Linked DNA regions of Oreochromis niloticus. Each later gene encodes a partner of the first gene's protein in a complex. Links are inferred from orthologs where the notes say so. Each region holds a gene or a part of one and is shown in the gene's direction. Other genes may lie near its edges.

Region 1 (7,772 bases):
TGCTAGAGCCACGCCACTTCTCCAATAACTGGACAGTAGTGAAAATATATGCTCTGACTTCTGATAATATTCCCTAATGGAATAATTTTTCTGTGAGCGAAAAACTTGTTGTTTACGTGACCAGATTAGGATTTGTCAGATAACTATAATTTTCAACACATTTCTCTTCATGTCAGTGTTGTATTCTAGAAATGAGAAGTTACTTTTGTAAAATGTTTTGATCAGAGTTACCAAATGCAGTAACGTCCAACAACATACGAGTACAGAGATGAGTCCGCTCCCAGAGACAATAAAGAGATCATTAGTAACCTTTGCTAGTCCTGTTTCTATGCTTTTGAATTATGAATCCTATTTTTTCTTTTTAGGCTGGACAAGAAAGTTGGATCAAGTAAAGGCTTCTGAATTAATGATTTAAATACTTCCACCTTAAAAGCCTTTAGCTTCTTAAAAAAAGATGAACTGATCATATTTAAAATCAAAGTATTGATTAATGATAAAGAGTTCTTTATAGGAATGTGGGCTAACAGATGTATTGATAGTGTCACTGAAGGCCTTACTGAAGTTAGTTCATAGAAATCAATAGGAAATAGTGCTGTCAGCGTTAATCTCGTTTATACAATACAATAGTATTTCTTTTTTTTGTTTTAATTTAAATTAAAAAAATTCATGAAGCAAACTCTTTGTCATCATGGTTACAGTGATGAACAGTAATGATAATAAATATCTATTATTAAACTGCTTTAATATCAGCTTGAAAGTTTGGATACCAGAGTTTGGCGATAGAGCTGCATACCGTGCAGCTCATGTAGTAGTTCACATTCTCACCAGTTGGAGCGTGATATCCGTAGACTTCCACTTCACAGAGTGCGAGGATCCTTTGTGAACCAGGAAGACTCAAAGTTACATAACGCCCCTCCACACGACCAGCGAAATTCACAGTGTAGGATTTGCCTGCACCAACTTCTGAAATTTTTCCAACCCTAACAAAAAGTGTGTGAGAAAATACAAGTTACCATGGCAGCAAATATCAGAACATTTGATAGTCAGCGTGATCATTTTCAATTAGTGGAATTTGCTGACAAAATTTACAAAAACTGTAACCTGATATTCTCTATTTTAATATATAATAGGATGATTTAATATAGGAATCTATTATAGGGAGTGCCAATAAAAAGAATATGGGCAGCTAACAATGTCAGTCCTACAGCAACCTCTCCTGTTGCCGTTCAGGAAAAACAGAAAGAAACAAACACTGCAAAGGTAAAAATGAGTAAAATGCCAAATCACAACATTGTTGCTAATTCCTTATTGCTCTATATTTACTAACTTTGGGTTTATTAAGCCATCATTATTCAAAGAGTTGCCTATGTGGATCTCCAGCCCATTGAGCCTTTCATGACAGCAGTCTCCTCTGTTGGTGATGGTGAGGGAAGTGACAATGTAGGGCTCGAGCAAGTCCACTCTCCACCAGGGGTCGGTCTGTTGATTGGTGTGCGAACATGATCCATGGCGAAGGTCAGAATCACGGTTTCCATCAATTGCAGCGTAGGCAGCCGACAATACCTCATTGATACGGGTTGACTGGGTTGCTTTGCCACGCAGGGCCACATTTTCTGGAAATAGCAGAATGCAAATGAAAGATATCATGGAAGGACATGCATTCAAGCAAGCAGCTGAAAATGAGCAGCCATTCAAATGTACCTCATTTAGTCACTTCCTCATGTAGTTAGCTTGATAACTCTGTTTACAGTAATACAGTGACTGTAGTATATGAACATATTTGGATAGGCATATTTGGTAGAGCTGCACAATTATCAGCAAACACAACTGGTTAGTTTGCTTAGTCAGCAAAGACTACCTATGATTCAAAATGATTACATAAGATGCTGAATTTGGTGAGCCAAAAGAATGGTTCGAAAGAATGTTCTTACTGTAGAAACTGAAAAACTGACTCCTTAATGTGTTTTTTGGAAGGTTTTTTTTGACATCCACATCTCACGTAAGACAATGATGTTGCTTAAATGTCTCATTTAATAATTTGCATACTTGTGGTAAAGGAAAAATGTTTTTTCTTACTTACATGAAACATTCAGCTCTAAACTCTAGAAACTGCAGTGACTGCAAATAACTAAGCATATTATACTTTGTTAAGTTTCTGTTACTTCACTCTCTATCTCTACCTGGTGATAAACACGTTGCCTCTTATTATTACACTTCTTTTTTTTTACACATAACTACTTTTCCTTACAAAAAAAGAGTCCATATACATCCAGATCATACTTACGATAGGTGCGTGCTGAGGACATCCCCAGGAGAAGGAGCAAAACCAGTGCTGAAATGTGTTTCATTGTTCCTACTGTTCACACTGAGAAAATAGAAACTTACATATTTTTTAAAGCCTAAACTAAACTTAAACAAAAATAAAACGCATTTATTTAAAGTAAAAACAAAGAGTGACCCTCTTAACCCCCTTAGAGGATATTATACGTCTTTAAATGAAAACTACATACCTTATAATCAGACGCAGATGAGGAGCTGCTGTTAAGGATTGTTACTTATATTCACATCCAACCAGGGCACATGAGCTTTGTTTTTCAATAAGCCACCGAGGACTTTGTCCTTTTCCTTATAGAGATAAGGCTCATTTCAGCTACCAAACAAGATAGGGTATTGGCAGTTCCTGATGTTTTGGAAAAATGCATTGGTAAATGTATCTCTAAGGTTTATGGTACCATGCGTACTAAAACGTAAAAAGGAAAAATGATGTAAAAATAGAAAAAGTGGCAAGATTAATAAAAACAAGAACAAAACATTTCACAAAGACTTTAGAAAAAGTAAAATGGGTTTCATATACTCAAGCCTATCTCAAGTGGGTTAAATCGTAAAGTCAATCTGACCCCAACCTTAGTAATAAACTGACTCGCTTCTGGTATATTCAGTTTTCAACAAATATAAGCAAAATATGAAAATTTATGCTGAATATGCCACACTATTGCACTATTGTAATTTATTCTCATTTATAGGGCCGTGCTAATATTCTTGAAGCAAAAAAAGAGCTCCTGTTCCACTCCCTGTGCTTCGTGTACAGCTTTTTCTGTTGAATATAAAGGATTTTGCTCACTAATCTACCAGATATTTATCAGCTGGGGTTTGAAATTCCTAGTACTGGTATCATAAAGTGCCGTTATCAGCTCAGCTTGGATTTAAACAGTACACCCCTTTTACTGGGCACATGCCACATTTTTTATCTCTTGTGCTTGATTAAACTTGTGATGGGTTTTAACAAACTACTTTTTTTTTTAAATTAGTGGATTTAATTAGACTAACAGAAAGAGAGAAATGTAGAATGTAGTGCAATTTTACTGTTCAACCAAAAACAAATAAAGTAAATCAATAAAAAATAAAATAACCATTTCACCACTTTTTGGAAACACTTTCTTAACTTTTAGATGATATGTTAATGTACTTTATTTACAAGAAGTAAACCTATGTGAAGACAGCTTTATTCTCTTATTCTTGAACAGACATAGATAGATAGTTGCTGAAATCTACATGTTATTGAGGTTTTATTTACATCACGGTGTAGTCATGTAAACTTGCTCCACCTCCTGGCTCTGTACAGACACAGGCACAAACTAAGCTGAAAAGAGTCTTGTATTACCTGACAAAAAGTAATCTCTCTTGTTTGTGCAAGAGGTTAAATCTGACCAAAGCTGGTAGGCAAAAAAAGTGTCACCACAAGATGGCGCCATCCTGACTGCTGCTCGCAAACAGTCAAGTTTGTCTGTCAAATTACATGAAAATAGTTCATTTATACTGCACCAGTATAGACAATAGCTTTGAAAAGTAAGAGTGCTAATTTAGTACATATAACCCCCCCTCCAAAAAAGTAAGACTGAACTCTCATATAAGTCTCATATTATGTTTGAGTAGTTAAAGCAGGGAAAAAAATCTGTAAGCAACACCAAAAAAATTATGTGAATTAGTTTACATACAACTTTCTGTTTTGTTACTATAATGTGGCTACTTGGATCTTGCTGGCAAAAACACATTCACTGGATTATAAAAGTTCATACGAAGATTCAAATCTATATGTTGCAGGAAAAAGTATCAAACCACATGAGAACAACGGACAAGAGTAATATAATAATAATGATGATAATCAAATGAATGAATAAATTTTAGACTTTAATCTTAGATTTTTTTAAACAGTTTTTTTTCCTCTTAGTTTTGTGAATTTATAACCATAAAGAGTACAAGATTTTTCTTTAAAAATGTACTATTTTAATTTACGTTTTTTGAAATTTTTGACTTGAATTTTGGAAATTGATATTTTGTACTCCGCCAAATAACTTATAATGGCTATTATTAAGTTATTATATCAACCCGGTCCCCCCTTTTTTTTATTTTACATACCATGGCCCCAATACGCCGTCTTACTTTTAACACAAACTACCTAAAAAAAAACAGGAATAACCTTCTCAGGTGCCTACATATCCCATGGACCATCTGATATTCAGGCTCGCGAGACTTCAAAATGCTCAACACGTTTGCGGCTGCGCAATGTCATTCGAAAACTTGCACGCTGAGGGACGCCGTGGAGGAGAAAGACAACGCAGCGAACAAAACACACAATGGCGACGGCGGCGACAACGGCAGGCGGAACGGGCTCGGGCGGACCGACCACTGGCCCCGTCGGTGGTTTAACCGCAGTGGGACGAAAGAAAGATGGTGGTCCGTCTGCGAAATTTTGGGAAAGTTCAGACACGATATCCCAGCTGGAGACTGTGCGACTCTGGATCGGAAAGCACTACAAGAAGGTAAGCTAGCTGCCCGCTCCTCCATTGATTTCTATGAAGGCCCGCGTCTCGCTAGCACAAAGGGGCGCTCATGTTTTAGTTAGCTGCAGCCACCCAGAGCTAAGTAGAGTTAAGTTTTAAGAGTGCTTCTATATAATTTTGTTTGGGAGTTCACCGTCAGTATACTGCCCATTGTCCTAGACCGATAGAGTTATCAGTTCTTGTTTATCAAATAGCTATAGTTAGCTCGCTAACTGCCCATTCAATGTTGCTACTAATATGACGCTCAGGGGGGAAATGTTTACAAACGAGCGACACATAGCCGCGTATAATTTTTTAACCCGTATGTAATAACTTTCTCATTAAAAAGAAATAATAATAAACCAAACTTTCTTATTAGTTTTTCAAAAGGCCCGAGATGCTAACCTGTATGTAAGTCACGGGACATACCATGCAGAACTTATAATATTAGCTAAATAAACCCCAGCCTCCTTTTTATGCCATCTTAAAAGGTACTTTACTTAGAAGATAATTATCTACTTCACTGCGTGCTGTTTGCAGGCCCAGTCCTGTTCCATGCTGTCAGTGTGTTTAGTTTTGTCAACACAGCAGCATAGCACACCGTGCAGGTTGCACTTGCCTACTGAATTAGCCAAACAAAGAATGCTCCTCTTGTCACATCAGGCTCTCATTCAAAACCACTGACACGTTGTGCCCGCTCAAGTTATAGCAGAAACATTATTCAAATGAAATGGCATAGATAAGGGCTTGTGAGTACAGCGTTTACACGCAGATGTATATTACAATATTTAATATATAAACTTGGCTTTTTTTAAGCATATGCACTGTTCAATAAATTTGCCTTTAAGAATAATAAATACATCCTTTTGTTGTTTTTTGTTGTTGTTGTTGTTGTTTTTGCAAAGATATTTATGTGAGTTATTTGAGGCCATATAGCAGTGGAAGGTCTTCCAGCTTTAAATGTACTTTGTTGCTGTTGACTGTGATCTTTCTGGTCAGTGTTTAGTTGTTGTGTTGCATTAATTTTGCATAGACTAAATCTAAAATAAGCCATTGAAACCTTGTGTCATTATTTGGTGATGCAATAGTATATAAATGGGATTCACTAACATTGTCTCTTGGATTACATTGATTTTGCACTGGCTAAACCTTAAAGGATAAAGTCATGACTTGATTTTTAAATTTTTTTGGTCAAGATTGATTCTCTGGAGCAAAAAGATCAGGAAATAAATACCATCCAACTATCCCTCTTGTCCTGCTGGAAACAGGACTTGGATTTCAGGGACGGCAGTCTAAGCAGAAACCTGTTCCCATGCAAGGCAAAAGATATAACAAGTTTAAACAAAAATCATTAGTCTGTTGACTCTCTAGAGCTGCAACTAACAATTATTTTGATAGTCGACTAATCTGCCTAATTATTTCAGTAACTCTTATCTCTGCTTCCTGTAGCCAAACCTCCTGTTCTAGGCTGTAGTACCTCATCTGCTCAAGTCTGCCCACCTGTGAATATCACCCTGTTGTTTTGTCCCCCAGCAAATTAAAATAATGATCCAAGAAACGTTTGAATTTCAAAATAATCAAATGTTTTTTAACATTACTCAATAGTTTTTATATGATTTGGTTCATGAATTCACGATTGGACATGCTCTGGAGAGAGGCTTGCTCTTATCTTTGTGATGATGTTCCCAGCTGCTGATAACCATGCTAATGATGCTCTCCGTCATGACTTAAGCCATCTGAGATGTGCATGAGCCTCTTTACAGGACTAACTTATCTATACCCCACTGCTTAATAATAGTATAGCAAAACAAAACAGAATTGGAGCTCTAGTAAACAACTCTCGTGGCTGCTCATATCATGGTAACAGACTTCTTTTTATTATTTTCTTTTATTACTTAACACATCACAGTAACATAACTTGTGTCGTGTTGTGTTGTATGCAATGTCGTTGTGGGACAGTTTTCCAATTTCATTGTACTATGTATGACTGTGCAATGACAATAAAGAGTTATCTTATTATCAAATGAAGAAGCCCATTCTCAGACTTTTGAGCATTTCTTTGGAATTAATTCATTTAAAAAAAAAAAAATCTAAACCCTTGTAGGTTGTATTTTTCTGTCTTTTGGCCACCTTGATTTGCTTAAAAAAAAAAAAAAAAAAAAGACTGCTAGATGAGATGGGAATCTGTGCCATTGCTATCATGTTACTGATAACTTTTTTCTGTGCCTACTTCCAGTACGTCCAGAATGACTCCCCCTCCAGTAAATCCCTGGCAGGTCTCGTGGTCCAGCTGCTGCATTTCCAGGAAGACGCATTTGGGCGAAGAGTCAACAATCCTGCTCTTACAAAGCTACCTGTAAGCATACAAACATTACATTCTACGAAAATCACCATCACAGTTTAATCCCAAATGGTAAAATGTTCTGTTCTTATGGTTCCTCTCATATCTTCAGGCCAAGTGTTTCCTGGATTTCAAGGCAGGAGGTGCTCTCTGTCACATTCTGGGATCTGTCTACAAGTTTAAGAGTGAGCAAGGCTGGTAAGTTAACTTATGTAACTTAATATGAGCAGATGGGTCTGACATTGATCATTAACTTAAACCCTCCTTTTGAAGTCATTGGTCTTAGAAATATAATTTGAACTATCTCAGTTGTGCATTTTGAAGATAAGCAAAAATCTTAATGGTCTTGTATTTTAGGATGTTGGTTTATGGAGTTAAAAACAAAAAAAAAAAACATTTGCATCAGTTGATGCAAATGGTGTGTAAAAGCCAATACACATAATTTAAGTTATATTTCAGTGTATACTTGGTGATTCTACTACCTTGAATGACTTTATTTGTCCCCCAAGTTGAATATCTGAGCAGTCCATGGATGGCGTAGGTCATAGAAGTTGCACCTAAAGTCATAATAAATGCAGAGTTATTATTTGAATATTTATGTGGCTTTGTGT
Region 2 (7,920 bases), on another chromosome or scaffold:
AGGGCGTTCTCTGAGAGTACTGGTACTGACAACTGTTCTTTCATAGTGGCAGCAGCCCGCGTAGTCTCATCATCAGTTAAGGTCGACTCAGGAGAGCCACTTGATTGACGTGCAGTTTCATCGTCAGGTGCCTCTGGAGAGCTGGTTTTCTTTTTGTGAAATAGTTTTTTCACTGCTCTCTTAAACTTTTGGAAAGGTGTTTTCCCTTTCGGTTTTTCATCATGACTCTCAGAAGCCATAGATTCTAGTTCACTTCCAGCACTGACATCCTCTGAGTGGTCCTCACAGCTGTCTGTTGACAAAGAATTGTCAGTGATTGGTTGACCAGCCTTTGTGTTGTCAGGTTCGTCATGTTCTGTTGGCAAGTCTTGAACTGTCTGATCTGATAATGTCTGAGTGGACGTTTTCTTTGTCGTGTCAAGGGCGTTCTCTGAGAGTACTGGTACTGACAACTGTTCTTTCATAGTGGCAGCAGCCCGCGTAGTCTCATCATCAGTTAAGGTCGACTCAGGAGAGCCACTTGATTGACGTGCAGTTTCATCGTCAGGTGCCTCTGGAGAGCTGGTTTTCTTTTTGTGAAATAGTTTTTTCACTGCTCTCTTAAACTTTTGGAAAGGTGTTTTCCCTTTCGGTTTTTCATCATGACTCTCAGAAGCCATAGATTCTAGTTCACTTCCAGCACTGACATCCTCTGGGTGGTCCTCACAGCTGTCTGTTGACAAAGAATTGTCAGTGATTGGTTGACCAGCCTTTGTGTTGTCAGGTTCGTCATGTTCTGTTGGCAAGTCTTGAACTGTCTGATCTGATAATGTCTGAGTGGATGTTTTCTTTGTCATGTCAAGGGCGTTCTCTGACAGTACTGGTACTGACAACTGCTCTTTCACAGTGGCAGCAGCCTGCGTAGTCTCATCATCAGTCAACGTCGACTCAGGAGAGGCACTTGATTGACGTGCACTTTCATCGTCAGGTGCCTCTGAAGAGCTGGTTTTCTCTTTGTGAAATGGTTTTTTCACCGCTCTCTTCATCTTTTGCAAACGTGTTTTCCGTTTTGGTGTTTCATCTTGACTCTCAGAATCTGTTGATTGCACTTCTCTTCTAGTGGCAATTTTCTTTTTGTGAAATAGTTTTTTCACTGCTCTCTTAAGCTTTTGGAAAGGTGTTTTCCCTTTCGGTTTTTCATCATGACTCTCAGAAGACATAGATTCTAGTTCACTTCCAGCACTGACATCCTCTGAGTGGTCCTCACAGCTGTCTGTTGACAAAGAATTGTCAGTGATTGGTTGACCAGCCTTTGTGTTGTCAAGTTCGTCATGTTCTGTTGGCAAGTCTTGAACTGTCTGAGTGGACGTTTTCTTTGTCATGTCAAGGGCGTTCTCTGACAGTACTGGTACTGACAACTGCTCTTTCATAGTGGCAGCAGCGTGCATAGTCTCATCATCAGTCAACGTCAACTCAGGAGAGCCACTTGACTGACGTGCAGTTTCATCGTCAGGTGCCTCTGGAGAGGTGGTGTTGGGTGTTGTCTGACTAGATTTTTTCTTTAATATACCACAAGAGCTCTCTGCCAGGCGCCTTTCAAAAAACGTTTGCAAGTATTGTTGGGTTTCTTTTTCAACAAACTCATCAGCATTCACAGAAGAGGCATATTTGGCTTTCCAAAAGTCTATATGCATTTTTAGCGAATAGAGATCTCCTGATACCTTCTGAAATACCTCTGAGAAAACTGTGTTTTGTGATTCATCAATATACTTTTTGTTGTCTTTGCCCGATTTGAGTAGGGATTTACCAGTTGTATCTTCGTCACAGACATTTGTTGACAAAGAGCCATCAGTGAACAGTTGACCAGCATTTGTCCTGTCAGGTTCATCGTTTTCTGTTGGCAAGTCTTGAACTGTTTGATCCGATATCGTCTGACTGGATGTTTTCTTTGTCATGTCAAGGGGGCTCTCTGACAACTGCTCTTTCATGAAGGCAGCACCCTGCACAACCTCATCATTAGTCAACATTGACTCAGGAGAGGCACTTTCCTCATCAGACACCTCTGAACTGGCTATTTTCTTTCTTTGAAATTGTTTTTTCACTGCTCTCTTGAAGTTTTGGAAGCGTGTTTTCCCTTTTATGGATTGCATTTCACTTCCAGTGGCTTTTTTCTTTCTATGAAATTGTTTTGTCACTGCTCTTTTGAACTTTTGGAAACCGATTTTTCCTTTCGGTTTTTCATCGTGATTCTCAGAATCCGTGGATTCGAGTTCACTTCCAGCACTGACAACCTCTGCATTGTCCTTACAGATATTTGTTGACAAAGAGCCATCAGTGATCGGTTCAGCAGCATCTGTCCTGTCAAGTTCGTTGTTTTCTATTGGCAAGTCTTGAACTGTATGATCCGATATCGTCTGACTGCATGTTTTCTTTGTCATGTCAAGGGGACTCTCTGACAACTGCTCTTTCATGAAGGCAGCACCCTGCACAACCTCATCATTAGTCAACATTGACTCAGGAGAGGCACTTTCCTCATCAGACACCTCTGAACTGGCTTTTTTCTTTCTATGAAATTGTTTTGTCACTGCTCTTTTGAACTTTTGGAAACCGATTTTTCCTTTCGGTTTTTCATCGTGATTCTCAGAATCCGTGGATTCGAGTTCACTTCCAGCACTGACAACCTCTGCATTGTCCTTACAGATATTTGTTGACAAAGAGCCATCAGTGATCGGTTCAGCAGCATCTGTCCTGTCAAGTTCGTTGTTTTCTATTGGCAAGTCTTGAACTGTATGATCCGATATCGTCTGACTGCATGTTTTCTTTGTCATGTCAAGGGGACTCTCTGACAACTGCTCTTTCATGAAGGCAGCACCCTGCACAACCTCATCATTAGTCAACATTGACTCAGGAGAGGCACTTTCCTCATCAGACACCTCTGAACTGGCTATTTTCTTTCTTTGAAATTGTTTTTTCACTGCTCTCTTGAAGTTTTGGAAGCGTGTTTTCCCTTTTATGGATTGCATTTCACTTCCAGTGGCTTTTTTCTTTCTATGAAATTGTTTTGTCACTGCTCTTTTGAACTTTTGGAAACCGATTTTTCCTTTCGGTTTTTCATCGTGATTCTCAGAATCCGTGGATTCGAGTTCACTTCCAGCACTGACAACCTCTGCATTGTCCTTACAGATATTTGTTGACAAAGAGCCATCAGTGATCGGTTCAGCAGCATCTGTCCTGTCAAGTTCGTTGTTTTCTATTGGCAAGTCTTGAACTGTATGAGCCGATATCGTCTGACTGCATGTTTTCTTTGTCATATGAAAGGGGCTCTCTGACAGTACTGGTACTGACAACTCCTCTTTCATAGTAGCAGCAGTCTGCACAACCTCTTTGTCAGTAAACATGTTTTGAGACTTACCACGGTTCACGGTGTCTTTGGCTGAGTTGGGTAGAGATTTACTGGGTGAGCTTACTTTCTTGCCTTGCACCATGTGATGTTTAACTGGTAAAGTTTTCCTAGTGTTAACGTTCACAGTGGGTGCCTTTGATGGAATACGGGGGAGTGGCCTCTGTGCTAACATGGGTGACAAACCAGTAGGAATTACACCTGGACATTTGCTTCCTGGTCTTTTAGATAGATTGCTCAAATTTTGTTGGTTTGGGTGATTTTGGGTCCTTTTCCTGTCTGGCACCATGAGATTAACTGGTATATTTTTCCTAGTGTTAGTACTCACAGTGGATGCCTTTGATGGAATACGGGGGAGTGGCCTCTGTGCTACCATGGGCGACAAACCAGTTGGAATTACAGCTGGACATTTGCTTCCTGGTCTTTTAGATAGATTGCTCAGGTTTTGTTGGTTTGGGTGATTTTGGGTCCTTTTCCTGTCTGGCACCATGAGATTAACTGGTATATTTTTCCTAGTGTTAGTACTCACAGTGGGTGCCTTTGATGGAATACGGGGGAGTGGCCTCTGTGCTACCATGGGCGACAAACCAGTTGGAATTACAGCTGGACATTTGCTTCCTGGTCTTTTAGATAGATTGCTCAGGTTTTGTTGGTTTGGGTGATTTTGGGTCCTTTTCCTGTCTGGCACCATGAGATTAACTGGTATATGTTTCCTAGTGTTAGCACTCACAGTGGGTGCCTTTGATGGAATATCAGGGAGTGGCCTCCGTGCTAAAGTGGGCGACAAACCAGTAGAAATTACAACTGGACATTTGCTTCCTGGTCTTTTAGATAGATTGCTCAAGTTTTGTTGGTTTGGGTTATTTTGGGTCCGTTTCCTGTCTGGCACCATCCTAGTTTTAACGGTCACAGTGGCTGGCTTTGGTCCAGTACGGCAGGCTGGCTTCTGTGGTAACTTAGGCAAAGAACCAGTAGGAACTGCACAGAGACAGCTGCGTCCTACTCTTTTAGATTTATTCCTCATTTCTTCTTTTTTTTGGCCAGGGTTTGGTGTGACTTTTGGCAGGCATGTTTCTTCTTGCGTTCCCACATTTGAGAAATGATGTATCTCATATGTGACATAAGCCAGGCAAATGGTAGAAGTTTTACTGCTTTCACCAGATGCACTGGATTTTTCTGTCATTTCTATTCTGTTTTTTTCCTCACTTTCAGGCATTTTAGACATGTTTTCGTTGGGTGTTTTTCTTTTGTTTGTTTTTTTAAGTGGTTATTCTCTTGTGCTAAATTTTGCTTTAGTACAGATGTTCTGTGTAGAGCAAAGTAATATGTCTGTATAATTAAGGATCAGCTTCTATTTATGCCTTTCCACATTCTATGATCAAAGCCACATGCACCTGATGTCATGAGGCATGTTCCTTTGATCTTATCTTTCAACATTCTATGACAAAAGCCACATGCACCTGATGTCATCATGATGTTGGCCTGGGCAACCGCCCATGTCGCCCATATCAAAAACCGCTACTGTGTGGTTCAAAATTCGTTGCAGGTACTTTTTATGAGGGAATTCTTGGCCTATGTCAAAACTGGCCTAAACCACGTTGTCAAAGCATGACACGTGAACAGCATGTAAGGGTTAATATAACTAAAACTTGTTCAAACTTCTCATCAAACGTAGTTTTAATTTATGCAGATTGTAACGACCATGAATTTACTTTAACTGTCTATAATAATTAAAATTATACCACACAGTCCCAGTCCTGTCCTGAAGCCAGCCCTCCAGTCCAGCAGGTGTCGGCCATGTTTCAACGCTCGCCAACAGCCGCGAAACTTCTCAACGAAGAAGTAACGAGCTAGTATGCTAGCCTAGCTGCAGAAATCATTTAGCAAAAAATATGGCTGCTGTGCTCCCCGTCAGGCCGCCCTGCGATAGCAACCCCGCTACCCCCGGAGCACAATCCATAAAGGTGACATTTGTACGCCATAACAATATTAATAATACTAATAATAAAAACATGAGTCTCTGTTAGCTCAGTTCCCTCGGCTCTGCACGGCTATAGCCTGAGCTAATAGCTAACTGGCCATTTATGGGACACTTTAGTCCATGATTGACGATCAGTAGCCACATTAGCGTCACTCCTTTGTTTTCAGCTGTGTAGTAATTGGTTAGTTAGCTCGTTCGGTTTGAATTTCCTCGTTTTATGTATCTGCAGTGATCTGGTCTGTGTACTTTTTGAATGATCTAAGTAAAAACGCGACGTTTAATGTTGTAATATTATAAGTGATTTGACAATTTGTGCTCCTTCTGTCAGCCAGCTTTGGCGTGTAAACTCATACATTTGTTTTGGTCTGTATTTAGCACCATTATAAATTAACTCTACCGTCAATAATATTCAATAAAGCTTCGTGTTTATGTAAGAGGGGAAATATCCTTATCTGAAATAATTTTTTAGTGTGTTTCAAAATGAACCCTCTGTATTAAACCGGCTAAATCTCTAAATGTTTACTTTTGCAGTTGTTTAAAAAGTTTTCATCAGGCCGGGAAATACTATCATGTCTAAAATAGCAGTAGTGTGCACTGTGTGTGATTTTTATCTCATGCCTGAGGAGCATATACAGAAAAGCACACTCAGTTTAAATACACTCTGTGATTCATTTATAGTAAAAGTATGCACTGCTCAGCCATTAAGTGGGCCTGATTTGTGGATACAGCAAGCTAAACAGAGATGCCCAGACCTCTCTCTCCCCGGCCCCCTCTTCTATCTTTTCTTGGTGGGATTCTAAGATGTTACCAGGCCAGCTGAGAGAAGTAATCTTTCCAGCACATCCTGGGTCTTATCTTAAAATATGAAACAACTCATCTAGGAGGTCACATTAACATGGTGTCAACCAAGTAATCCTGGGAGCTTCTAGTGGGGTCTCTCAAGGCAAATTGGTCCTACGCGATGATAGAATGTAAACTCTGTCAGGAACCAAGTGGGTCAGATGGGCCCACCACTTGCAGAATCACATGTTAAAATTTGCTGTAGCAACAGGAAGATGAATCCTGCAATTATGAGTCCTAGGGTTCAGGTTTACCAAGCAAAAATTAATTTGGGCTCTATTCATTTCTGTGTCATGAAAGTGTCCAATACAAAATCAGAAAGCTCTTAAAAGTTTTGTGGATATACTTCATGCTCTGGAGTTTTCAAACATCACATTATGTAATGTTAATGTTAAAAATTAATGTTAAAAATTAATTCTGATTTTTCTTTTCCTCTGTAGGAGGATGTCATAGAAGAAGTGTCCAATGATGGCAGCCAACCTCCCAAGAGAAGGAGAATGGGCTCAGGGGACAGCTCTCGAAGCTGTGATACCTCAAGTCAAGATCTTGGGTAAGCTGGTTTAGCATTCAGCAAGAAACATCCACTGGCATAATTTTCAAGCATTCTTGACAACCAAGTAGGACAGAAAATTTGTTGTTACCATATGTCACATTCTTTTTTTATTTTACTATATCCCCAAAATATACTTGTATATGATAAACCCTAAAAGCTGTAACTGTCAGTATTGATGTCTATTTAGTTCTTCCAGTGGCGATTTTCTTGTCTATATCAGCTAAGATTAATCTCACAAAATCTTTTCCAATCATCAAACTCTGTTGTCCCTCCAACCTTCCTTTCCAGTCCGACGTATTTCCCAGCAGAAAACCTGACGGAATACAAATGGCCACCAGACGATACAGGAGAGTACTATATGCTGCAGGAGCAGGTCAGCGAGTATCTGGGAGTCACGTCGTTCAAGAGGAAGTATCCTGGTAAGAAGTGAGATTTTTTGTGTTTATCTGTTTTTTGTTGTAAAGAGTTACTCTAAGATATTAACTGGTGGTGTTGGTTTGTGCTTTTCTGTTTCTTTTTAGATATGGAGAGGAGAGACTTGTCCCACAAAGAGAAGCTCTACCTTCGTGAACAGAATGTCATCACTGAGACACAATGCACTCTGGGTAGAAACCAGTCCTTCAAACTCAGACTCAACCGCTGTTCCAGTTGTGATATCAGAAGGTAACATCTTTCCTTTTCTTTCCTTTTCTTCAGGTTTGACAGCTCTGAGGAGTGATGAGGTGATCGATCTGATGATAAAGGAATATCCCACCAAACATTCAGAGTATTCTGTCATACTGCAGGAGAGGGAGCGACAGAGAATAGCAAAAGAGTACTCCGTAAGTTCACAAGCAACAAAAAAAGATCCTGTAGAAGTAGGGCCACAATATTTTCATCTAAAGTGTAATGAAAATCTTCTGCATACATCTCCAAATATATTTCTAACATTCTTTGTTCTTTCATAGCAAATGCAACAGCAGAACCCTCAGAAGGTGGAGGCCAGCAAAGTCCCAGAGTACATAAAGAAGGCAGCAAAAAAAGCTGCCGAGTTCAACAGTAACTTCAACAGGGAGCGCATGGAAGAGAGGAGAGCTTACTTTGACCTCCAGACACATGTAAATCCAAACTGAAGGGGTTTTTTTCAGGGTTTTAGTAAAAGCCCAATAGACGGCTTAATTTAAATTT
Region 3 (7,391 bases), on another chromosome or scaffold:
TTCCATTTTTACAGCGAATGCTAGAGAGTCACACCAACATGACAGATATTAGAGTTGGTGAAGGAGAGGGGGGATTTGTAAGAATGCTTAAAACCTATGGTTACAGTGCACTCATTATGATTTTTCACACACACGCTGCTCTCAGGTTTTAGGAAAGAGGAAGGAAGAAGAGTAGCTAAGAAGCAAAGTAGGTTTCTCTTCACCAAAAATGGAAAAAGAATTAGCACTTATGCATCCCACTGAGGAGGTAGTTAACATCCATGAGAAAAGCAGAGGATTCCCATTTTAAAAGAATATTGTTCTCTACTGTGATTCAATCACAGAGACAGTAAAAGATTGCTGTTCTGAGATGGAAAACTTGAACTATTTGGATCAAACTAAATGAGAAAAAGCTCAGGAAAGGTGGGGTGTGGTTATAATAACAGTCCATCCAAGGTGATTAGGTAATCTGCAAACACCCAGCGCTGGAGATCAGTACAGTTTCCAGATCAACAATAATAATAATACAGGTATGACACACACTTCTCAAACATCTAAATATTTACATAATTTAGGAATTATTCATCTTTCCTTTTTTCAAAAAAGTGACACATTTCATAACAATGCAAAAACAATGCAAAGAGTTAAAAAGACAATTACATAAAGTAAAATTTCAAGCCTCAAAGAATTTGACCTTGTGCTTTCAGGTTTAGGTTGAGCATACGTTCACATTTAAAGGACCAGTTCTAGCTCTTGTGTGTAGACAGTGTTACTGACTTACTTGCAGCTGAGACAGAGAGCTGAGCAGGTGAAGTATTCATCTGGGAAGAAGGAGTACAGTGTCATCTTTTCATCTGATAGTTCTCCACAGAAACGTTCACTCAGAGCCTGGGGAAACAAAAACAGAACGGATTAGAAGACAGAAAACTAGATGGGAGCTGAAAAAAAGGCTGAGGAGACACAAAGGAAGAATTAAAACAATCATATGCTTTTTCTTAAAGGCCTCTAATATGGTGCTTCTTCACTTACTTCTAGTGCGTGAAACACTATTGCAGGCTGGCGGGGGGACCGGGTATGAGTGTTCTTCACTTGCTGCTTGATGGCCTCTAGCAGCCCGCTATAGTTCGTGGGCGGCGTGATCGTCTGAGTGCCTATGTACTGCACTGAGCTGAAGGCCTCTGTCCCCAAACCCAGGTCATGAAAACGCTTCTGGAGGAGTGTGTCTGCATAGCCGGCCATCTTTGAGTCTACAACAGGAAAGAAAGACAATAACATTTAAATTTGTGACACGGGAAATTAAAACCAAGGGAAATAATTATCCTAAAGTTGTGCTTGGAAGTACCTTGGCCCAGGAGTTGCGTGTGTGTTGTTTCCTGGAAGATGATGACTGCAGGCCCCAGAGAGGACAGGGGTACATCCAGACCACAGCGGGTGGACAGGGCCCTTAGCTCTGGGGTGAAATGCTTCAGGTATGCCCCTGAGGCACTACTCAGGAACTGGAACATGTCATTGTGAAGACGCTCTGCCCGTGTGCGATACACCACTATATCCGACACTGCCAGCACCTGAAATTGAAATAAAAATGTATCTACAAATAAGATGACTTGTTTTTATCATGAAAACATTGGAAATGAGAAATAAAATGAGTTTCACTGTTCTGTTTACATGATTAGGATATAAGCATTACCTCAGTAGAAAAATTAACGAAGACAACACTAGAACTCAGAACACAAAATCACAGACTCCTCCAATTATTCCACCCAAACCAAGCAGCAACCGCTAAATTTACCTTCAGCAGCAGCCGCATTCTCTGGTTCTGATTGGCTGCGGCTCCCAAGAGGCCCTCTGTATCCAGCGCAATGAGGCTGAGAGTGGGGTTGTAAGCAGCCCAAACTCCCACAGTACAGGAGCTGGGGGACTTGGAGGTGTAGAAAACAGTCTCGCCATCAAATAGGACGTGGTTGAGCGTGTGAGACTTGCCATCACCGGTGTTTCCAAAGATGGAGAGGACCTTGACGCCCGCTACGTCAGCACAGCCAAGTCGCTCCACGAACTCGGCCTCATCCCGGACCTATAGGATGAGAGGAGAAAGAGCACCAAGAGACACGCTGGTTACAGAGATGAGCTATTTTGTGGCACCGTGATACAATTGAGCAAATTACTTTTACTGATTCTTTATGAACAGTATTATTTATTTAAAACAAAGAAACCAACAACAAAACAAAAAAAAGAACTGCGGGGGATTAGTCGCTTCAATCTTAACGCTAGTTGTTCATACAGATTATCTTAAGTACACAAGAAAACATTATCTCTTGTACTTTGTAACACAGTGTGAGGGTGTCTTCCATGTGGGTCAGCTGTGCTGTATGACTCACCAGGGACTTTCCTAATAACAACCCTGTCTGCTGTTGTGCTGCTCTTATTTACAGCTTAAACTTAATGTTTTTCACAGTATTATAATCAAGACACCATCCACACGTTAAAGCCACGGGCTGTATACAGACAAAGGCTAAAAACACAAGGGGCTAAACACGACGAACATCCAAACACGCTGTTTAACGTCGCATTAGCAAAGCGCCGTGAAGTAGCTAAAGCCTCAACAAACTTGCTTCATTAGCTTCAAGACAAAAAGCTCGATTTAGCTCTGAAAGCAGATTTGGCTCATCCAACATTTTTTTCTTTTCGTCACAAAAGATAGTTAAGGGCCTTCCGTAACAAGAGTCTTCCCCTTTCTAGCCTAGCGGCTAACTGTTAGCCGCCGTTAGCTCAGCTGATGTTAGCTAACTTTACCTGCAGGTTTTCTTGCTCGTCCACGAGCAGGAAGCTCCGGCCGCCGTCGTCGGGTCGGTCCTCTGGCTTCAATGGACTGATCGACAAACTATCCATTTCTTTCATCAGTATATCGGACATCGTTGTTTACTTAATTGAAACGCATTTGTGGCAGCGGCACCAAACAGCAAAGCGAAAGTTTCACATGACGCCTACCTGTCGGTCAATCACAACAACAGCGCGTGGACTATAGGAGGAGCCAGATGGGGGCACGCAGGGCAGCGACGTAAGACGCGCTTGTTTGACTTTGGTCTGTACATGAGCACCACCGTGTGGTCAGCCGCAATACAGCACCTCACATGCCATTCAACAAACTTCCTTCATCAGGGAATGAGAAAGCATAAAATAAAACCATGTGGACCCATGTGCACGGTCTTTTGTAGCCTGTAATATGTATTTTTTTTCTTATTTAAGATTAATGATGTAAACCAAACACAAATAACGTTCATCTACCATTTCTTGCTACGTTAATATAAAATAACACATTTATTATTCTTCACAACTAAAGCATAACGCACAAAATCAAAGTTTCCTTAACTGACAGAGAGTGTTTTATCGGAGCGGTGCTGCCATGCTAGAGCTGCTTGCTAATGTTCATTAAATATTTGTTAGCACAGATCTATAAATATCACATGTCACTGGCTTCAGAGCGGCGCCACTGCTGCTAACATGACATGGAGAAAGAAATTCCAGCATTGCTGCTCTAACGGCTCTGAGTCCTTCCTTCCTTCCTCCCTCCCTTCCTCCCTCCCTTCCTTCCAATGTCTAGGGAATGGAAAATGCCAGCCCAGGCTTTGGCATAGTCGCTTTTAACACCCTTGTCTCTAGCCTGTGTCAAATAAAATCGCCATCTGGGACAGATCCAGCAAAAGATGTAGTATGGGCAAGAAAACGAGCGAGTGCGGGAAGGATGCAATAAAGGATGGCGTGGTTAAGGATTTAGAGAGGGTCCCAGCCTTTCTCCGGGCTCAACTATGAGAGACAAATGTCTGAAAGAATCAATTATAGGCCTACTCCCAACCCATCACCCCTGATTAATGAATAATTAAAGCTTCTCATTGCAGGGCTACCTAACATCCATGAGACTAGCCATGAAGCCGCTAAGATTGCGCAGAAACAACTTCTCTTGATTTTCAACAAATGACTATACAGACCTGTCACAGTTTCCTTAACAAAACAGGCAAACATCTTTGTATGCAGTTAGTTTGTGCTTTTTGCTACTCGAGTATCCAGTTATTCCCTTTACAGTGCAGTTAAGGTGATACCTGACCCAAATTTGCACCCATATCCACAATCATACCTCTGTAAACAAACACAATTTAGTGTTTAGCAGCTATAAGAGACAGAGTCATCATCACATCCAGACAAGGGAACGATGCTTATAGGAGAGACTGACAGACAGTCCTGCAACCCAACCTTAACATAACTGTGGTGGATTTTTTCTTCTTCTTTCTTTTCTATAAATTCGGATGGGGGGTGTGGGGGGGCATTGCCCTAACAAGTCCGAGGCGGGACCGTGGTCCACTTAAACCGCTACCCCCCCTGGAACTTGTAGTACTGTGCTCCTCGGTGCGTCTCATGTTGACATGCATAAAAACTACACTTCCCCAAAGCTGTCACAGAGCGCTCCCGCCTCCCATTGGCTGGCCGCTCCAGCCGCAGCCCCAGAGAATGAATGAAATTGAAATAGCTGCTACATTACATGTACAATACCGGGCTCTGCAGTGTTGCATTCTATCATACTATATCAAAATGGCCACAGCGGTACAGAACCCCCTCAAATCGTAAGTACAACACGTTTCCTGAGTGTTTGCGCTTTTTTCGGGCATTGTGCATGCTGTCACTGTCAATTTAAGCCCCTCAATTTCCCACATATTTCCCCAGCATGATTACCAACGCGTCTATATGCATGCAGTGCATACAGCGGAGAATGAGATAATGTCAGGAGAGGCGAATGAGCCCCGGAGAAAAGTTAGATTTAAAGCTGATGGAGGTTTCTGGGAGGTTTTTTGGGCATGAGTGGTGGGGGGATTATTGCGCGCTCCGATGCAATTCATATAATCATTTCTCTGAGCCAACAGCAGCGTGTGTGCAGGGATATGGAGGAATGCTGGAGGTAGATTTGGGTGACCCGGTATGTCCCTTGCCAGTGCAGCCAGCCAAGATCACGGCCAAAGCCGGGCTGGAGTGGCAAGGCTGTCCGGGAGGAAGGGGGATGGTTTAGATGGCTTTACAGTACCTGTGTGTATATTTTGTTGAAGGGGGGCTGAGAGGGGGTAAACAGGTAGACAGAATGAAGTGCTCCGTTCCCGGGTTTTTAGGCTGCAGCGTTACCTTTACCGCTGGACCTCTTGGAAACGTATAGTGCGAGGTAAATAACGCTCCTCCAAGACTTGCTTTCATCTTCGGCGCTTAGAATAAAGCCTGGAATCCAATCCAAAGCCCGGCGCTTTACATTTAGTGCAGCTACATCACAGCGGACATTTATCTCCACTGACGGACGTTAAAGCGGCGGGTTTCCCCGTGAAGTTTCTTCCGCGATGATCCCCTTTGTGCAGTTTTTTTTTGGGGGGGGGGCGGGGGGGAGAGTGGAATGTCTTTTTTTTGTTTTTTTGTTTTTTGTTCTGAGACTGGTTTCAGCGGAATGCAGACGCCTGCTGCCCGCCTCGGCTCCCGGCCAAAAAGGTGGCTGATGTGCGTCTGTCAGCGGGTACACACGTTCAGCCAAAACAAAAAAACAAAAAAACAATAGCTCGAGTACCTTGGAGTGTTTGAGCACACAAACGCTCCAGCTCAGGCAGTTTGAAACAAAGAAAAGTCACAAGACCTATGTGCCAAAGGAAGGAGGGGGGGAGGCACATCGGATGCTGTGCAGGTTTTTTACCTGAGCAGGGAGATGGGATATAGTGTCTGTCTGTCTGTCAGCTTCTCCGAGAGGCGACATTTCGCGCATTTCCATGAACGACTGCCCTGTACGTGCCTGCTGTGAAAAGCTCCTCACACGAGAGAGGGAACTGGATTTGTAACGGTGCTGATTGGTCAGCGAGCCCTGATTGACTGTGATGGTATTTTGGGGGTGTTTTGGTTCAAAGTACTTGCGCTACAACGCAACGCAGGGACCACAGATATAACGCAAACACGCAGGAGATGAATCATTTATTTTTGGTTTATCTATGCTCTAAAGGGCAGGTATGTGGCAATGCCGATGACGGGAATGGACGGGTGGAAAATGATGGAGGCTCCTCTCCTCTCCTCCACAGGATGCTCATCCAAGCAAAGAAAAAGTGTGTCCAGATTGTTCCCAGAGGCCCTCAGTGGCACCATGTCAGGGGATTAAATTGACTCATTTGCATGGAGTACACACCAAGACACACAGACAGAGAACACAGGGTTTGGGTACGAGGAGGAGAATAGAATGGGTGGAAAAGTGTACAAAAGACAGCAGAGTAAGTGGTTAGAAAGAGTGACTAATGAACTACAGCCCAATTTTGAGTGGTGGTCTTACACTGATTTCTTTTTAAGTGCTTCAAGTTAGACAAAAACCTCCATATTGTTAGCCAGTATCAACCCTGCAGGGATGTTGGATTCCCTTAAAGCACGTGAGAAGAGGACAAAGCTGGATGTATTTATTTATTTATTACACAAGGCCACAGCAATCAAAGCGGCCTTTAATATCTCACCAACTGCATAAATGCCATCATTACGCAGTGTGGGTTTAACTGTGTTCCAGTTACCGCTCTGCAATGGGCTTTTAAACAAGCCCTTGTAATTAGCATGTCTACAAACAAACTTGCTATTAGAGGCTTACAAATTAGGGACCCATCCAGTAAAATGGGCCAAACAACCAGCAAAATTGGGTTCAAAGTCAGCCCTAATAGGGTGGCTGAGCCCTGCGCGCCTGGAGACGACGCCTGTTGTGCCCATGAATGTCCCCAAACCTTGCTGGATCTCTGCGGTGAATTGGCATTAATTCAGTGTATATAAATCTTTGGGAAGCTGCTGGTCCCCACTGTCCAGCTGAGTGTGAGTGGGACACTGTGACAGCCAGTATACGTGCGTGGAGGTACGGTGGAGGGTTCATGTGCAACAGCAAATGAGGGGAGGAGAACACTGAGCTCCATCCGATCTGCTGGGCATTTCCCTACCAGCCCCTCTCCCTGTCTATCACTCACTCTCTCTCTGCTGGATTAGACTCGTTTATAATCTCTCTTTCTCCCTCCCTTTTACTTCCTCTCTGTCCTCCCATCACCCTGCTGCCCTCTCTTCCACTATATGCCTCCCTCCTTCTTCACCACTTTCCCAATCCATCACTAGTTTTGCCATCTCTCGTTTTTATTCAGCCATCTCCTTTCTCTCTCTCCCTCTCTCTCATTTTGTTGTCCATTTTCCTTCTTTTCGGCCTCAAACCATCTGAGCCCTCTCCCCTCCCACCACTCTTCTTTACATTGTGAATCAAGGCATGGCCACTCTTTTAATAAACTACATCGATGGGAAATTCCTACGCATTCTCTCAGATCCCTCGAAACCCCGTTATATAGCTTACAGCTAAGAGTTCCTTAAGATGTATCTACTGTATATTTGGG
Region 4 (7,513 bases), on another chromosome or scaffold:
TAAGCACATTTGTCATCTTGCGTATATACGTTTTATGTGACATTTAAAAAATAATATCTTGCATTTCCAATCGAAATTATTTTTCCTTTCATTTGGAATTTTCACTGAGGTCAATAAAGTCATTTGTGAGGCCATGGGAATCAGTTTTGTATTTTATATGATGGGTTGGTGATTGAAAGAGACGTCTCTAAGCATCTCTGGTATATATGAGCCTCATACAGCTGTGCATGCTTTGTTTGTACAGATGAATCAAATTAAAAGTAGTCCACATTTAAATGAAGATAAAATAAATCAGTGAATGAGCAACACTGAAGATGGTTTGCTGACTATTTATTTTTACAAGATACACTTAAAAGATAGTTGCCATGACAGCCAAACATCTAATATTAAAATGTTTTAACCATTAATTAATCAACTATTGAACTGATTTTAATTCACTATTATTAAGTCAGCCAGTAAGTAAAATGTATAAAATAAGAGATAAAAATAAAACATACAACAATGTAAAGCAATAGAATAAAACATAAAACAACAAATGAATTAAAAACCTGTTTGTTTAAAAATGGCTTCAGTTGGTTTTTGAAAGAGTCAGTGGAGTCAGTGGGAGTGAATTCCAGGTTCTCTCCCTGAAAGCCCGATCCCCACAAATTTTGAACCGAGTAAGTGTGGCCAGCAGCAGCAGCCTCGTACCTGAAGACCTGATGTTTGAGTATGTCAGAGATAAACTCGGGGGCTGAGACCATGAAGGGCCCAAAAAGTTCAAACTAAAATTTTCTGGCAACCGATGAAGAGAAGCCAAAACTCGAGTATATGTGATTTTCTGTTGGTGCCAGTTTAAAGTTCTGCAGCAGCATTCTGCAGTCTGAAGACCAACCAAACCTGATTTATTAAAATATAGAAAGATAATAATAATAATTATAATTATAATAATCTTTCAGAATAATCAGAAACTTTATTTTATGCTGAATGGTACCAGAAACAGAAGCACCTTTCAAACCTATTCGTTTACTATCAAAAATGATTAGAAGTGGCTTCTAATTGCTGCTGTAAATATTTGGTATTTAAACAGTAAAACTCTCACATGTGCTTTTCTTTATTCAGGTTCCATTCTGCCTTTAAAGAGACTAATAAAGCAAAATAGGATATTTCAAAGAAGACAAAATTGAAGAGCCCTTCTTTGCATTTCTGCTTGAATGTTCTTTTGTTTGACCCTTTATTTAAAAACCTTTAGACTTTGAATAAATTGTCATGCCAGTGATTCCCCGAAGCCTTTTACGGAGGGTTTCAAGGTGAATGGAAGCCACAACCACTAGTCCTTTTACTGACAAATGACTGCGGCCAAGCCCTTTCCTGGCTCGGTGAATTTGAAGGGGGTGGTGGCTTTCACCACAAACTTAATTAGGTTTATTTATTTGGGTAAAATTTACATTCAGGAACCCTGTGCACATCCTTTATAAGGACACGTAAGAAAGGGCAGAATTGTTAAGGAGGGGACGTTAGGACAAAGTTTCGTGAGCAGCTTTGTTTATCGATCTGTGGGGTGCAGGCCATTCAAATGATGGCTGGTCAGGGCTTTGAATACCTTTGAAGGTCATCAAAGTGTCACTGCTCGCGCACAGATAGTTCACATCGAATAAAATTAGTTTTTCAAAAGACTGAAATTTGAAAAATAATCATTAACATTTTTTAATATTTGATATTTATTGCAAATCCTGTTGATTACGTTTCAAAATAATCCTAAAACAGACGAGTTTTGTGCATATTTGTAGGATCTGGTGGATCTTATTTTTTATCTACTGTAAAAAATGAGAAATATAAACTTTCTAATAAACTTTCTAGCACATGCACATTTCTCCTCTTCAGCAGAAGACTGCCAAAAAGTTTTGGGTGTATTAAAACAAAGCCAACAGGGTGTTAAAATAATTTACTTCCCTGAGTGATTCTGAAAGCCTGACAGCACCAGTGTGTAGAAAGAGTCAGCCTGGAAGAAATCCCAGAGAAATATTTTGAATATATTACCATGCTAAAATAGGCTGTAATCGTTATTAATCGTTATTTTAATTCATTTGGATAAGATACACTTCATGTAAATGCAGACAAATTATGAACTGTACTATACAGAAAAAAATAATATCTACTCTGAGTTTAAATAAACATTGTTCAGTAAAAACAGCTTTATCTTCTCATAATGAAAACAAAACACAGTTTCTGATATCAATAGGATGCAAATGGAGCTTTGCTAAACCCGTGCATTATTTGCATGGCTTGCCTTTAAACTCTGCTATTGTCAGACTTACTAAGTTGGTAAATGTAAATGTGTACTGTAGCACTCAATCACTCTGTATTTGGCGTGTTTGTTTAGAGCCCAGGCATGCAGTTCTTCACAGGTGCTTGTGTCAAAGCAGGAGGCCGGCTCACTGAGGCATCCGCTGGTCAGTGTCTCCATCTTGTGTTCACTTGACAAACTGCACAGAGGAGCACTTTCCCTAAGCTGCTTTAATGGTACCACAGCAACAGTGTGCAAACACTGTGGTGTCTAATGCAGTCAGACTGTGTACTGTGACTGACAGCTGACAGTGACATGATCTCTCATATATTGTGGAGTTTTAGAGAAAGTCCATAGAGGCAATGTTGTTGTGATTTGGCACTATGTAAAAAAAATGAACTGAAGGAGTTTTTTTTTAATAAACTACAAAAAGTAACTAACAACATAAAGAGTTCTATGAGATGAAATGTGCAACATCTGCATGTAGTTAGATTTGATTTAATCACTTAATTGATATATTTTAAAGAAGACGATGATTCAAGGAGAGGAGAGCTGTGCTGACTCAGTGCAGCAGTTTTGTCTGATTGTGGAAAGACAAAGACAGCGATGCAGGAAATATCACTGATCATATGTACAAGTGCCACGAGATGATGTATGCTGTGACGTTTAATCTCAGTTTAGGTTTAACAATGTCAACTTACTGTTTATTGGCTTTTATGCTTTTTATCCCTTTCCATATTTTTGCACTTTTAATATACTAGCTGCTCCTCACGGAACCCCCTAAAAGTGTGTAATTTGTTATTTGCTATCAGGAGATTTTTTTATGTTCTGTTGTATGAATTTAAATGATATCTGCATGAAAAGAGGTTGTTTGTTTATATCGTCATTAATGTAGATGTGTATTTATGGTTTTATGGAGGAACAATAGCCAAGTCTAAGACTGATAGCATCGTTTCATTAAATACAAGCAGCAAGAATACAAAGCAAAAAAACATAATCACACTGAAAAGGTACTGATGATACAGCAGGGAGGAGCCTCACCATGACATGGAGTGTTCAGCATAACATTTGCATATTTTTGTTGACCTATGAAATTGAATTACTTAAGATTATAATATGATTTGTTAGTATTAGTGGAATTAATGCTGTGCCCCCCTTCAGACACCCCTCTGCATCCCTTTCTTCACAATTAAACTATAATCTACTCACACTTATATAGTACCTTTCTAGTCTTACTGACCACTTTTAGACTACAAGTCAAATTCTAACCATATATTCATGTAGCACTTTATTCTATACAATTAAAGTACTTTATCTGCCTCACATCCATGCCCTGTTTTGAAGTTGGATTACCCAGAGGAATCCCACCAGGCACAGGGAGAACATGTGAAATCCACAGAGCCGGGATTTGAGCCAAGAACCTTCGTGCTGTGAAGGATGGTGACAGCGGTAACTACTCCATAACCATGCCATGTCACGGTCATATCAACTATCCACATGGTGATTTAATGAAGGACTCTTATTGGTATTTTACTGTGAAATACTGACAGTAAGAAAAAACTACTCATTTATTAGGATCCTTTCAGACAGTTTTCTTTAAAAGAGAATTGACTGACCCACCACTGGCCCAAAGCTCGCCATCCCACGGATGCTACGTTGGATCAGGCCTTCTGTCCATAAAGTTTGCTCTGCGTGCTTTTGAAGCTTCATGTATTAAATGTTAAATATGAATAAAAATTAAATTAAAACTTGAAACAATAAAAAAGTGAGCTTATATTTTCCTGCTGTAGTGAAATAGACTAAGAACATATAAAGGCATACATACGTTACATACATACATATTATACACACAGTGCAGTGCATATATGTGCAGTGTGTATAACTAATTGCTAATTACTCTGATGTTAAACACAATTATAAAAGCAAAGTATTATTTTTTAAGTATTCATTTCTAAAGGCAGGGAGAAGAGCACTGACAGATGCGCACGGACGCCTCTCACAGCATCAAATACGTTATTACAACACAAACCATGAACCGCGCGTTTGTAATAAACTTTTACATGAGCGGGATATTCGTCCAGGCTGCTGCTCTCAAAGTTCCAGCACTGGTTACAGAGCGGACACACGCCCAAAAACAACACGGCAAGAGTGACAGCGATTCAGCCTATCACCGTTTAAGGTAGGTGGGACTTCCGGTGACATTGACAAATCAGTAATGGCGACACAAGAACAACTTAAACATGTCAGCAAAACAACACCGAGGGGGAGTGAACTTATGGACAGCAGTCATATTTTGAAGAAATATTATAAAAATTTCATCTAATTATCTGCAATTTCAATCCAGCGAAAAGGTAAAACGACTAACGGTGGTTCGGTTTTGATGAATACTGAGGTGTAACTACTGTTAGGAACTGCTAACTGCCCAAACTTTCTGACACGGACGCAGTTCGCTGCATGGAAACCAGAGCCAGCTAACGGGCTATGCTAGCTGACGTTAGCAGATGGCTAAGTTACCCAACGATCGAGCAAAGTGGCAGCGAAAAACGGCCGAATTTAGGGCTTTTGTGAAACCACGTGTTTATAAACGCGATACACAAGTTAAATTATGCATCTTTAAATGTTAACGAGGTCATGTCAGGTGCTCGACTTTCATCTTAACTTTGATTTTGTCTGCATATCCGTTATGGCCACCAGTTTTTTGGGGAAGCCATGATCCAATCAGAGTGGGCTCTACAGTTGATCGAGCTAACGTTACTGTAACTGTACAGGGACGGTCGGAAAACAGTGCCGCTGGTCCTCCAACAGCGTTTATCTACGTGGCGCTGATTGTTATGCATGTTTTTTGTTTTTCTTATAGGTGTTTATGACATCGCTGTGTTTTCTAACGGTGCAGATACGTTTTGCAATCACTATGCAGCTCTATAAGTCAGTCATGCTACGGCTGTTGAGACCCTGGAAATTTCTGGCTCATAGTGACACTTGTAAGCAGAACATAACGTCAGACATATGTCAGCTTCTTCTTTCTATATGAAAGAATCCTTTTATGCAGCCTCGGGTTTTATTATTCTCTGTGCAGGAGAGCTTTGCCTTTAACCCTGTGCCCTCCTCAGATTTTGCACCTCTTTCCACACCTTCGTGGACAAAAATGTACACGCACAAAATCTGCCATAAAATCCTCATACAGCAATAATTTTTCCGCGTTTTCATAAATCACCAACTTTAACCTTTTTGAAAATGAGCAAGCGTTAAATGATTTTCAGAATTTTAACCCTTTAAATGCCGGTTTAAACATTGGAACTACTGCATTTTGTTTTTACCCCCCCCATACACACACATACACACACACACACACACACACACACACACACACACACACACACACAAGACGAATTATTTTCCGTATAATTGATAGAATTGGGGATACGGACATGTCAGACATCAGCAACAAGTCTGATTTGAATGGATTTTTTTTTTTGTGTGTGTAGTGCACATGTATAATCATAATCAGCATACTTTATTAATTCCTAGGGAAATTATGTGGGTTACAGTTGCTCCAGTACAGTAACATTAACAAAAAGACTAGACTATTTAACAATACAATATGTTAAGATATAATAAATAAGGAATAATACACACACAATCTGCCATAAAATCCTCATAAAGAAATATTTTTTTCTGTCTTTAATTTTTCATAAATCGCTTAATCAACTGGACTTTCTCTCAAAGCCACACATACATCACATATTCAAAGCCTGGGTATTTCGGTTCATATTTGTTCATATTTCACATGTTCTGTTGTGTTTTCAGTGTTGTTGCAGTTTGCATAATAAATGTTCCCATTGATGAATTAGATGTTGTTTCACACACACATCCATACAAATCACTCTTGGGGCTCCCTGGTGGTCACAGGAATCCATAATACAACTGGCAAAAATACAAGAACTTCATGCATTGGCCTACTGTGGGGAAATGGTTGAATATGGTGAAAAATGTCAAATATCACTGCTTTTCTTCCAAATAAAATGTTGACATTACAGAATGCATGGTTTTATACTGCGATGCAGAGAGATTAAAAAGTGTTGTTTCAGTGGAAGTGAATGAGGCATTTTTGTCCACGAAGGTGTCGAGAAGGATTATCAGGCACTACACAAAAAATAATAATAATGCAATCATGTTTATAATAATAATGCTGCTGATGTTTGACATGCCCAAGACTCTAATCACCACCAATGTCCTATTCCCATACTATTTATGATATGGAAAATATTTAGTTTATTCAATAAATACTTAATAATTCCAATGTTTAAACTGGTATTTAAAGGGTTAAAATCCTGAAAATAATTTAATGTTGAAATTTTGAAAAGGGCTCAAGTTGATCAAGAGGTTCAGAAAGGGTGCAAAATACATAAACAGGGTATGAATGACATGTAAAAGTAAAAGACACTAAATGTCATAAATTTGACTAAATAGAAGATTTCTTGCAAAAATGCATGCCATGAACCAGAACACAGCCAAAACGATCACCATATTAAAAATGCCCGAGGAACGAAAAAGGTTAAAAATGCAGCTTGCATTTCAATTAAAATGAGATTCTTTAGACATAATCTCTAGAAAACACGTGCATTTACACACTCAAAACATGTTATTATTATGTTTAGAGTTTAAAAGCATATGAAATGCTCCAGAAATAAAAGCTTCTACAAAGTATCACTACACCCAAGAAAAGAGTCATGCAATAAAGAGCAGCTTCTTAGGTTATCATAATCAGGTTTAACTGTCACACAGGTGTTGAACTAACTCAGTGGCTGTTTCCGACATTCTTTTATCACATATAAACATGATTGACGTTGTTCACAAACAACAGTTAACATATTAAAATCCATCTTCTGATGGTATGTGCCTCATCTTGTTTTCATGGAATTAAAATCACATCAGTCTTGTTCTCATTTTCCTCCTCTAGCTGTCTGGTACCTTCACAGGTATTCAGTAGATGTCCGGCCCCTCAGAGACATCAGGTGGTATGTCGCATCCTGGCCCTTCACCTGGGGCGGGTATGTCCCCAGGGCCCATCTTGGGCCCCAGCCCTGGACCAGATCCCTCACCGAGCTCTGTTCACAGCATGATGGGCCCCAGCCCTGGACCCGGAACACCCAATGCACCTCATGGCATGCAGGGCCAGGGACAAAGTGATTACTCTCAGGACAGCATGTATTCTATGCATAAGGTACAGTCTGCTACAAACTATGT

Evidence for each region. The genes of interacting proteins can lie anywhere in the genome.
Region 2: smarcc1a (region 1) and phf10 share a complex: the UniProt entries of both Homo sapiens proteins name them as parts of the neural progenitors-specific chromatin remodeling complex. The link is inferred for Oreochromis niloticus from reciprocal best matches to the Homo sapiens genes SMARCC1 and PHF10.
Region 3: smarcc1a (region 1) and dpf1 share a complex: the UniProt entries of both Homo sapiens proteins name them as parts of the neuron-specific chromatin remodeling complex. The link is inferred for Oreochromis niloticus from reciprocal best matches to the Homo sapiens genes SMARCC1 and DPF1.
Region 4: smarcc1a (region 1) and smarca2 share a complex: the UniProt entries of both Homo sapiens proteins name them as parts of the BAF complex. The link is inferred for Oreochromis niloticus from reciprocal best matches to the Homo sapiens genes SMARCC1 and SMARCA2.

Annotation. Positions count from the first base shown.
Region 1 is NC_031976.2:31,814,411-31,822,182, reverse strand, and holds the start of smarcc1a (SWI/SNF complex subunit SMARCC1), read left to right. Parts: upstream 1-4,556; 5' UTR 4,557-4,634; coding exon 4,635-4,820; intron 4,821-7,056; coding exon 7,057-7,176; intron 7,177-7,273; coding exon 7,274-7,359; intron 7,360-7,772. Other genes in the region: fucolectin-1, read right to left, coding at 826-980, 1,328-1,613, 2,285-2,348. UniProt on the Homo sapiens protein: Involved in transcriptional activation and repression of select genes by chromatin remodeling (alteration of DNA-nucleosome topology).
Region 2 is NC_031965.2:25,545,137-25,553,056, reverse strand, and holds the start of phf10 (PHD finger protein 10), read left to right. Parts: upstream 1-4,870; 5' UTR 4,871-5,005; intron 5,006-5,128; 5' UTR 5,129-5,271; coding exon 5,272-5,352; intron 5,353-6,640; coding exon 6,641-6,750; intron 6,751-7,041; coding exon 7,042-7,172; intron 7,173-7,274; coding exon 7,275-7,358; intron 7,359-7,449; coding exon 7,450-7,574; intron 7,575-7,700; coding exon 7,701-7,850; intron 7,851-7,920. Other genes in the region: mucin-17-like, read right to left, coding at 1-2,161, 2,552-4,604. UniProt on the Homo sapiens protein: Involved in transcription activity regulation by chromatin remodeling. Belongs to the neural progenitors-specific chromatin remodeling complex (npBAF complex) and is required for the proliferation of neural progenitors.
Region 3 is NC_031979.2:8,686,667-8,694,057, forward strand, and holds the start of dpf1 (zinc finger protein neuro-d4), read left to right. Parts: upstream 1-4,341; 5' UTR 4,342-4,386; coding exon 4,387-4,592; intron 4,593-7,391. Other genes in the region: si:ch211-11n16.2 (zinc finger FYVE domain-containing protein 1), read right to left, coding at 1-20, 761-867, 1,009-1,226, 1,322-1,544, 1,769-2,050, 2,770-2,889. UniProt on the Homo sapiens protein: May have an important role in developing neurons by participating in regulation of cell survival, possibly as a neurospecific transcription factor. Belongs to the neuron-specific chromatin remodeling complex (nBAF complex).
Region 4 is NC_031977.2:35,623,609-35,631,121, reverse strand, and holds the start of smarca2 (putative global transcription activator SNF2L2), read left to right. Parts: upstream 1-4,463; 5' UTR 4,464-4,617; intron 4,618-7,226; 5' UTR 7,227-7,256; coding exon 7,257-7,490; intron 7,491-7,513. UniProt on the Homo sapiens protein: ATPase involved in transcriptional activation and repression of select genes by chromatin remodeling (alteration of DNA-nucleosome topology).